Caenorhabditis elegans: one gene and its partner. The protein of the gene in region 2 purifies or fractionates together with the protein of the main gene of each other region. This does not show direct contact. Each region holds a gene or a part of one and is shown on either strand. Other genes may lie near its edges.

Evidence for each region.
Region 1: the proteins of ant-1.1 (region 2) and ced-4 purify together in Caenorhabditis elegans (affinity purification with western blotting; one study listed by BioGRID). This does not show direct contact.

Annotation. Positions count from the first base shown.
Region 1 is NC_003281.10:4,850,514-4,855,742, reverse strand, and holds ced-4 (Cell death protein 4), read right to left. Parts: upstream 3,419-5,229; coding exon 2,968-3,418; intron 2,917-2,967; coding exon 2,823-2,916; intron 2,778-2,822; coding exon 2,690-2,777; coding exon of another isoform or gene 2,688-2,689; intron 2,570-2,687; coding exon 2,435-2,569; intron 2,385-2,434; coding exon 2,047-2,384; intron 1,490-2,046; coding exon 1,214-1,489; intron 1,166-1,213; coding exon 1,060-1,165; intron 1,014-1,059; coding exon 786-1,013; downstream 1-785. Other genes in the region: C35D10.8 (PH domain-containing protein), read right to left, coding at 10-123, 169-307, 403-407; F26A1.1 (Non-structural maintenance of chromosomes element 4), read right to left, coding at 3,961-4,056, 4,258-4,766, 4,820-4,921, 4,987-5,055, 5,102-5,153, 5,203-5,205. UniProt on the Caenorhabditis elegans protein: Component of the egl-1, ced-9, ced-4 and ced-3 apoptotic signaling cascade required for the initiation of programmed cell death in cells fated to die during embryonic and postembryonic development.
Region 2 is NC_003281.10:13,461,357-13,465,381, forward strand, and holds ant-1.1 (ADP/ATP translocase), read left to right. Parts: upstream 1-1,806; 5' UTR 1,807-1,874; coding exon 1,875-1,932; intron 1,933-2,040; coding exon 2,041-2,105; intron 2,106-2,150; coding exon 2,151-2,371; intron 2,372-2,424; coding exon 2,425-2,983; 3' UTR 2,984-3,296; downstream 3,297-4,025. Other genes in the region: abcf-2 (ABC transporter domain-containing protein), read right to left, coding at 1-477, 529-717, 777-851; T27E9.2 (Cytochrome b-c1 complex subunit 6), read right to left, coding at 1,001-1,228; cdk-5 (Cyclin-dependent-like kinase 5), read right to left, coding at 3,462-3,548, 3,601-3,681.

The DNA of each region.
Region 1 (5,229 bases), 8.6 Mb from region 2:
TGCAAATACCACAAAGAGATGTCCATGGGTGAGGGCTCTTGGTTGATAAGTGACTAGGAGATTGCGTTCGTTGAAAATTGCTCGTCGAGCACGTGTCACCCATTGACCGAAAACAGTGAACCACTGAAAATAGTACGTAATCGATAAGTTAAAATACTGAAACAGTACAATATACAGGGATAATGATATGAAGACTGCTATCGGTCTAGATGGAACTCCATTGATGGCAAGAATCTCGATAAAGTGAAGCAGCAAAGCAAATGTAGTAATGACGCCAACAGAGGAAAGAAATCGAACATCTTCAAAACTGAAAGGAAATTGTAAAAATTACGGTTTTCGTGAAAACTCATCAAATGTCCTTTTGGAATGCACTTTGAATTTAGAACACAGAAAATAACTTACTTCATGTTCGAGACTAAAAGTACGACTTTCAATTTAATGAGGCGTGTTTAAAAATGATCAATTTGGAAGTTTCGAACAATAGGGAATAAATCATTTGGATGCGATAAAATAATAGTCCACGAAATTCTTTACGTGAATGTATTAATTCGATTAATTAAAATTATAAAAGAAACTGAATATATTTGAAAAAAAAAAGCAAGGATGAGATGAAACAAGATGTGTTGAGTATCTGTAGAAAACATTAAATTTAAGAACATTTGGGATAGATCTGAAATTTTGGAGAGAAATAAAACAAGTACAAATGAAAAAATGAGAAAACTCGTGCGAAAAAGTATAAACGTATTTCGAGGGGAATATACAGGCAATATTGTACACGATAGGTTTTAACAGCATGCAAAATTTTTGAGGGAGTCATAGAATTTCTGGTGCAATTGCATGAACTTTGGGAAGTCTTCAGGACGGATCACAGTTTCTTCTGTAGTTTTTGGATACATCTCACTGGCTGATGAACGACGGAATTTTTGGAAATGTGATGGTATATGTCGCTCCGGTACTGATACATTATTGTTTCCTATTTCAAGAAGACGCTGCTCGAGAATTGAGATTCCATTCTGAAAATTTAAAATTTAATTGAAAGTTGAGACATTTTCAGCATACGGCGATAGTTTGTGCATCAACGACGTGTTTCAAGAACATATGGATAATATGATCAATTTTGAATGTCAAAACGGGCATTCGTTTTCCACTGAGAAGAGCTCCACGTCTGAAATTTTAAGTGTTAATTTAAATCTTCAAATTTCAAGACTCATACTTGCTGAGTCTTTTCAACCGATCCGCAACTTCATCATCCAATTGTTCTTCTTCATTTGAACAAATATCAACTGGAATAACACATGACCATAGCTTGACGGGTATATCAACTCCAGGAGGCATCACAACTGCGAAAGCAAGAGCACTTCGATCCTCATCTGACAAAACTTCAACACATCTTTGAAGAGCCATTGCGAGTGACTTGTACGAGTAAGGGGTGATACATTCAACACCGACTAATCCTCGACTTTCCAATTTGTTATTAAGCTGTGCCATTCTGAATGCAAAATGTTTGATAATTTTAAGAATATACCTAGCGATTTTGGACTAAAAATGTATTATTTCGTTTCGACATTCCGGAAAATGATTAAATAAAAAGAGTATGCGGATTTAAGAAGTACAGTAGTCTCCAGCCTTGCTGTTTTTCTATTTTACTTGATTTTTTTTAAATATTTTATTCAGTTTTTAATATTTTTAGACTTGTTTCAAAATAAAAGGCTTTAAATAAAAAGAAACAACAAGAGAAAATCGAAAAATAATGAAAACAGGCTCATACTCGCTTTCATTTAAAAAATTTCCGTCGGGTCGAGACCGTGTATCTCTTGTTCAATTATGTAAAACGATAATTTTCTTAAAAAATTAAATCGATGGCAAATATCAAGAAAATCTCTCGGGTACGGTAGCTACACAGTTTTCTCTCGTGCCAGGATCCTAATTCTTGATTTTGATCCTCAATTCGTAAAATTTAAAGACAATCAGCTATGAAACTTTTTGATTAACTTTTATTGTAGAATAAATTATTTTAAAAGTCTCAAATTGGTATGTCCCACTCACTTTTCAAATGTTTTCGGTTCACAAGACTTGAAAAACATCATAAGCGTTGCTGGATTTCCACTGCTTAGTTCGATTGTTTTATTAAGCACATCTTCTTCTTTTTCTCCAACAGGCATCGGCATTCCATAAGCTTCTAGAAAATCATAACATTCATCGATTTCCAATGATGTCACTTCAATGAATTCGCATGTTTGAGAAGCAGCATTTGATATTTCCACGTCACGAGTAGTTACAAGACATCGAAGACGTAGCTCCTGAGCCCAACGAATTGTTTCTTCTTGAACTACGTCATCAAATACGAATAAAGTATTTGGACGATCAATGAGTGCGTTGCAGATCTAAAAACCAATAATTTAAGATATTGTACCAGAATCGGCAAGCAACTTACCATCCTTTTGAGTACAACTGACGTGACATGCTCCACCGATGGGAAATTGAGAAGATCGTCTTCGCTTCTTGAAAGAACACGGTTAATGAAGTCGGTGATCGAATGCGAGTCATCCGTGTCGCTCACAACACGGGCTCGTCTTCAAACACACAAAACATGCAAGCGTCACGAAATATCAAATTAAAAGCTAACCAGGTCAAATTTTCATAATTTCAAAATCATGCTGAATGTTACATGCACTCTATTCACTCACTTTAGCATCAGCAAAATATCCGTAAATAAATCGAATGTAGATTTTGGAGCTGTTCCACTATCTTTGAGCCAAACGATTGAATCATAATTTCTGTAATAGAATGAAGATCCGTAGGATTCAGATAATACCACTCACATTCCAATAAGTTGGTCAGATTTCGAAAGAGCTTGTGATGCAATTACTGATTTTCCGGATCCAGCTCGGCCGTGTAGAAACAGAAAAAAGGAGTCTGAAGTTTAAGCAAGATTATAATAAACACGAGAGCTTCCAGTTTTCTCACCTAAATCACACATCTCGTCGAGCTTTTTGATCACTCGATCCACGTGATACTCTCGAATATAGCATGTCATTTGTTTTGGAACATTCCCAAGCAATAGTTTCCTATCGAGCATTTGTCGGGAAAATTGTGGAGCAATCACTACTGGACGAAGTAGATCTGGCTCATTTATCGCAAAATCGATGTAGTCTTCGAGGAAATCAGCAAGGTGACTTTGATTGTTGTAGTTGAAAAAGTCGATGAGTGGTCCAAGTTCAGAAGCTTGACGTCGATAGATTCGAAGAAAATTGGCGATCCTCTCGAGGCGAGTTGACATTTTACTGATAAGTTCAGAATGATCTTCTGTGAAAATGTTTTTGCCTTCTAAATAAGTCAATGCGTCACGTGGTTCAAAGTCGTGGATGAGCCTCGTGTGTGCCGTGCTCAAAGCGCGGCATTCGATTTCGCAGAGCATCTGAAAAATCTTCTTGATTATAAGGAAGCAAGATTTTGTGAATTTTAAAATGCTAGGTGATGTTTTCGAAACAACGGTTAGCTGGAGAATATACAATAGCATTGATAAAAAATTATTTGTTAAACATTATATACACTTTAAAAAAACAGGCATGTAATATAGAGGATAAATCTCCAAGCCCGAAATGTGCATAAATTGTGAGGCATAAAAATACCTTGAAAATGAGTAAAGAACATTGTATAATCAGATAGAAGCAAGAAAGATTTTAAAAAAATACAGTAAAGCTTACAGATAAAATGAAATTAAACATGAAGGAGTACTAATTTATAAAAATCGTTGAATATAAATAGACCGGAAGATATGCTGATCTCGAATGCAACGAGTAAAAAGTAGACAAAAATAAATTCGAATTTTCAGATAAAAATGCAGTTTATTTGGTAGAAACATTGTACAGGAATGTGAGAGGCCTAATAAACAAAAATATATCGGCAAATCGGCATATAGTTCTTATTTAAAAAGCGAATGAGTAAAACAGTGAAATATCACAATCCTTTATCCTTTCCTCTTTGCTTAGTGATTGTCACACGTCCTTCTTCTAAATCTTCCACTGTCGCTGATATTTGCCGAGAATCCCAACCCTGTAATACAATATTCAAATACAAAAACAGTACATTTTGTAGCTTCATACAACAATCAGAAAAATTATAATTTAAATTAAAAAGAAAGCCAAGCCCTCTTTATTGCGTTTTATTGATTTTTAATCGTTTTTCGTTAATCTTCGAAAATTAATTTGGAAAAAAAAACAATTTTTTTAATTGTAGAAACATCAGATAACTTACATTAGCCCCTTTCAAGTTAATCATTTTATCGGTGACAATTTCGAGTTTTGCGAGCATTTCTCCAAATATTCTGTTATACGCATAGACATCTTCGCCGTGTTTGAATGACTTGTTATCGATCACAAGTTTCGGTTTCTGAATCGATACCGAACAGACAATGATTCGACGCGAATTCGGCCGATTCATAATAATATCCAACTCTTGTCGAATTCTCGGATTTTCGAAAGACAAATTCAGCTTGAATTCAGGTATTCGAGTATTCTGATTTGAATTGAAGTAAGTGACTGGCTCAACAAGCTGTCCTCCTCCACGTCCTCGCAGAGTTTTCTTGTTGGACTCGAACACAGGCGGAGCTGACTGTTGTTTATGAATATCGATGACTCCGTATTCATGCAAAACTGTTTTGTCCATTTCATCACTCCTTTTCGTGAATTCGTCTAGCAATTCCGTTAACCGCAATGTGCATTCTGCTTGATCTGCGGCACTTCTTGTATTGAAATCATTTTTTGCTAAAGAATTTGTATTTTGAGCTTTTCAAAGTTTTCAACAATTCAAAAGATACCTTTTAGTTCGGCTCTCGCGCGATGGCACTCAATTCGATCCTTCTGGACTTTTCTATCTTTATCGAAGTTCCGGCGAGCAGTATGTAAAAGTGGATGATTGTCTGAAACATTTAAATTTAATAATTAAAATAAAATCAATAAAAGATAATCTTGACAGCTGGTTTACCGTGTTCCAACATTGCCAGCTCTTCAATTAATTTATTGATCGGCATGTGACGAGCATGTCGGATGAAATCTGAAAGAAAACCATTATCATGTGAATGTTAATCAATAATATATACCATCGTCAAACTCCACATCGTTTGTGTTAGATGTACTCGCAATTCCAACGTCCTGGAATAATATATTCAATTAAAAATGTTTTAAAATACTAGTCTCTCACCATCCAGGATTGTTATAGGTTAATTGA
Region 2 (4,025 bases):
GACTGACGGTTTCAGGAAAAGTGCACGAGCGAGAGCAATGCGCATTCTCCATCCTCCAGAAAAATCTTTACATTTTTTCATTTGCATAGTTTTTGTGAATCCAAGTCCGTGCAAAATTTCGGCAGCCTTCTTTTCAGCGAGAGATGCATCCATTTCATCCAGCCTTTCGTAAACATCCATCAGCTTGTCCTGACTTTCCTCATCAGTCTGACTAGCAAGCTGCTCGGCAAGATGTTCCAACTCTTTTCTGACTGAATCGACATCAACGACCGCTTGAAGAGCAGTTTTCTCTGAAGCAGGCATTTCACGGGATACGAGGTACATATCCACGGACTCTGGGATTGGCATTTCCTTGTTGTAGATTGCCTGAATGATGGTAGACTTTCCAGATCCGTTCAATCCGATGAGTCCGTAACGACGTCCACGGTTGAGTTCGAGTTTCGTGTCAACGACAATTTCACGACCGTGGAATGTAATCTGAATGAAAACAAAGTTACTTGTTGGAGTCGCCAATTAAAAACCACTTACCGTCAGGCTTTCTACTCTGTGATCAAGACCCTTTGGATCGGAAGTCAATGATCCGGCGACTGAACGAGCAGCAGCGTTTTCCAATTCGATTTTGGCCAAGGTGGCGGCGGCCTGATCGAGCTCCTCGTCTAAACAGCAGAGACTGTTGACGGACGGATGTTGAGATGACATGGCGGTTGGTGTTTCTACCTGGAAATGAGATGATTATTATTTGTTAAACAAAAAAAAACTAAAAATCAATTGCTCACCTTCTTTTTTCCTTTTCCTCCTTTGGCGGCAGCCTTCTTAGCGGCCTCGCGTGCTTTCTTCGCATCAGACGGCATTGTTGTCCAGCAGTGATGCGGATGGGGTACCCTAAATTTTTATTTATTTATCTCTCAAATACACGGAAAAAGCGACGGATAAAAAATACGAGAGCGAAAATTCACATAAACTAGACGAGAAATCCTCAAAAAAAGCAGGAAAAGAAATATTATTTCAACGAAGCGAAGGCCTTTGGCATGGCACAGTGATCCAAATGGTGAACGTAGTCAGCCATCTCCTGATGGCAGGTCTCCTCAGTGTTAGAACGAGAGTTGACACGATCGTTGCACTCGTCGAGAATACTCTTGAATTCGGTGACATGGTCGGCACATCGCTCACGGTATTGAGTAAGTTGATCGACGTCAGCCTCGAGTGGCTCTTCCTTGTGGCTCGACATACTGATACCCGAAAAAAATTCCATGATAGTGACAAGTCATTGGCTCGATGAGAAGAGAAATATGAAGAAAACTACTTTAAAGCGATTCGAAAAACCGGTCATACCAAACTCCCGTAGGCATAAATTAGCCACAATGCGATATCGATTTTTTTCGGAACATTGAGGTTACGAATAACCAGTTATCTACAGTGTAAATAAACAAAAAACACTTCAAGTACTGCTTATCACTAATACACTATTGTGTTTGCTTTGACATGGCTCATAATTTTCATAAAAACTGAAACTTTCGCAATTAAGTTACTTTCTTGGAGTTATGACCTATTTTTCGAAAATAAATCACGTTTTTTTAATAAAACAAAACGTGAAAAATTCAGGAATGAAGGAACGAACACGTTTAGAAAAGAAAAATACGAAAAATCGATAACAAAACTGATATTTAGGCTCAAAATATGCAAAAAATCCCAAAACTGGGCGGTCAGAGAAAACTAGTGTTTGAATCGCCGCGCCTGACGCACCGTACTTGCGAGCGTGGCGAGACCTGCAAAGTGCCTCACGGGCTGTGCGCGCACCCCGTTTCGACGGGCGGCCGTCTTCCCACTATTGCTTCTGGCAAGCACCGACCACCGAGGTCCTTCAATCTTGAATCATGTCCAAAGAAAAGTCCTTCGACACCAAAAAGTTCTTGATCGATCTCGCCTCAGGAGGTAAGCTTTTTCAGTTTTTATTGCAAAAATTTGGAGGATTTCTATAATTATTAATTTTGGGTTTTCATTCGTCAAATTTGTGATTTAATTAATTTTGTTTTCTTTTAGGTACCGCTGCTGCCGTCTCCAAGACCGCTGTTGCCCCAATTGAGCGTGTCAAGCTTCTCCTCCAGGTGTGTGATGAAACTTTTTTCCACTATAAATATGAAAAATTTTAGGTCCAAGATGCTTCCAAGGCTATCGCCGTTGACAAGCGTTACAAGGGAATCATGGATGTTCTCATCCGTGTCCCAAAGGAGCAAGGAGTTGCTGCCCTCTGGAGAGGAAACCTCGCTAACGTCATCCGGTACTTCCCAACTCAGGCCATGAACTTCGCCTTCAAGGACACATACAAGGCAATCTTCCTTGAGGGACTCGACAAAAAGAAGGACTTCTGGAAGTAAGTTAAACATTGCATTATTGTTTTTAGAAAATTTCACATTTGAAATTCAGGTTCTTCGCAGGAAACTTGGCTTCCGGAGGAGCTGCTGGAGCCACCTCCCTCTGCTTCGTCTACCCACTCGACTTTGCCCGTACCCGTCTTGCTGCTGATATTGGAAAGGCCAACGACCGTGAATTCAAGGGACTTGCTGACTGCCTTATCAAGATCGTGAAATCCGATGGACCAATCGGACTCTACAGAGGATTCTTCGTCTCCGTGCAAGGAATTATCATCTACCGTGCCGCATACTTCGGAATGTTCGATACCGCCAAGATGGTCTTCGCTTCTGATGGACAGAAACTCAACTTCTTCGCCGCTTGGGGAATTGCTCAAGTTGTCACAGTCGGATCTGGAATCCTTTCCTACCCATGGGACACTGTTCGTCGTCGTATGATGATGCAGTCTGGACGCAAGGATATCCTCTACAAAAACACCCTCGATTGCGCAAAGAAGATCATCCAAAACGAAGGAATGTCCGCTATGTTCAAGGGAGCCCTCTCCAACGTCTTCCGTGGAACCGGAGGAGCCCTCGTCTTGGCCATCTACGACGAAATCCAGAAGTTCCTTTAAATTTGATAACACTTTGATAATTTTTACCTTGTCATTGTCCAACAAAATCTCGTTATGTAGCTTGTTTTAGCAAAGTAGTTCACCTAGCTACTATGTTAAGTTTTCAAAAATAAAGCGAGCCACATAAAAAGTTTTAAATCCTCTATTAAAGTTTTCCCCTTTTCAAATTCTCATTCTTTCCCTCAACACCCCGATTGAACATTCGTTAGGATAGCCCCTTTATCTGGACTCGGTTTGACAATCTCGGTTATTGCACCTGTGTTTGCCGTTGATCTTTAAAATTACTCGAACAACAATAAAACGTTGTTGATTTTCCCTTCGTTCAATTATGTGCCACAGAAAGATTTCAAACCGTAGCCGTTTATTAACGATGAGATTTTGTTTCGCAAGCAATGAGGTTCATTTGGGGTCAGTGGGGGAAGTGAATGCCAGGGAAAGCGAGAAAACAATGTGAGTAGGAAAGTGCAATAGTGAATAGTTAGACGTCAGAAGTGTCTGCGAAGTACGCATGGCGTAGAGCTGCATCGGCATCGATTCTTCCTGCTGGATTGCAAACAAGAAGTTTCTGCAAATACTTCGAGTTTGAGTAAGTATAATTTTTATTGGAAAAAAGTTACCTGTAAAAGATCACGGCCACGTGAATTCAAATTAGGTACGATTTGGCTCCATGTAAGCGTTGGATGGTAGATTGGGTAGGGCTGAAAAATGGTATGTTATACTTGTGTGTTCCTATAATGCAATGGAATTCAATTAATTATTGTCAATCTTAAATCTAGAACAGTTGTCTCTGCTTCTCTAAATCTACTCAATACTCTGTTCTCTGTCCTGTCCCAGCCGCCCGTGATTGTATGAATTACGTCACCCGAACAAACAGCTGAGCTCAAAGTACTCAATATCATTTCTTCTTTCTATCTTTTTCTTTTTTAGTTTTTCACCAATTGACACGGGCGGATAGTAGTCGGGAGGACAGGACAGCGGCAAAATCGTGGCAGGTAAAATGGAAAAGATAAGAAGACGGAATTAGAGAACTAAGAGAATTTGA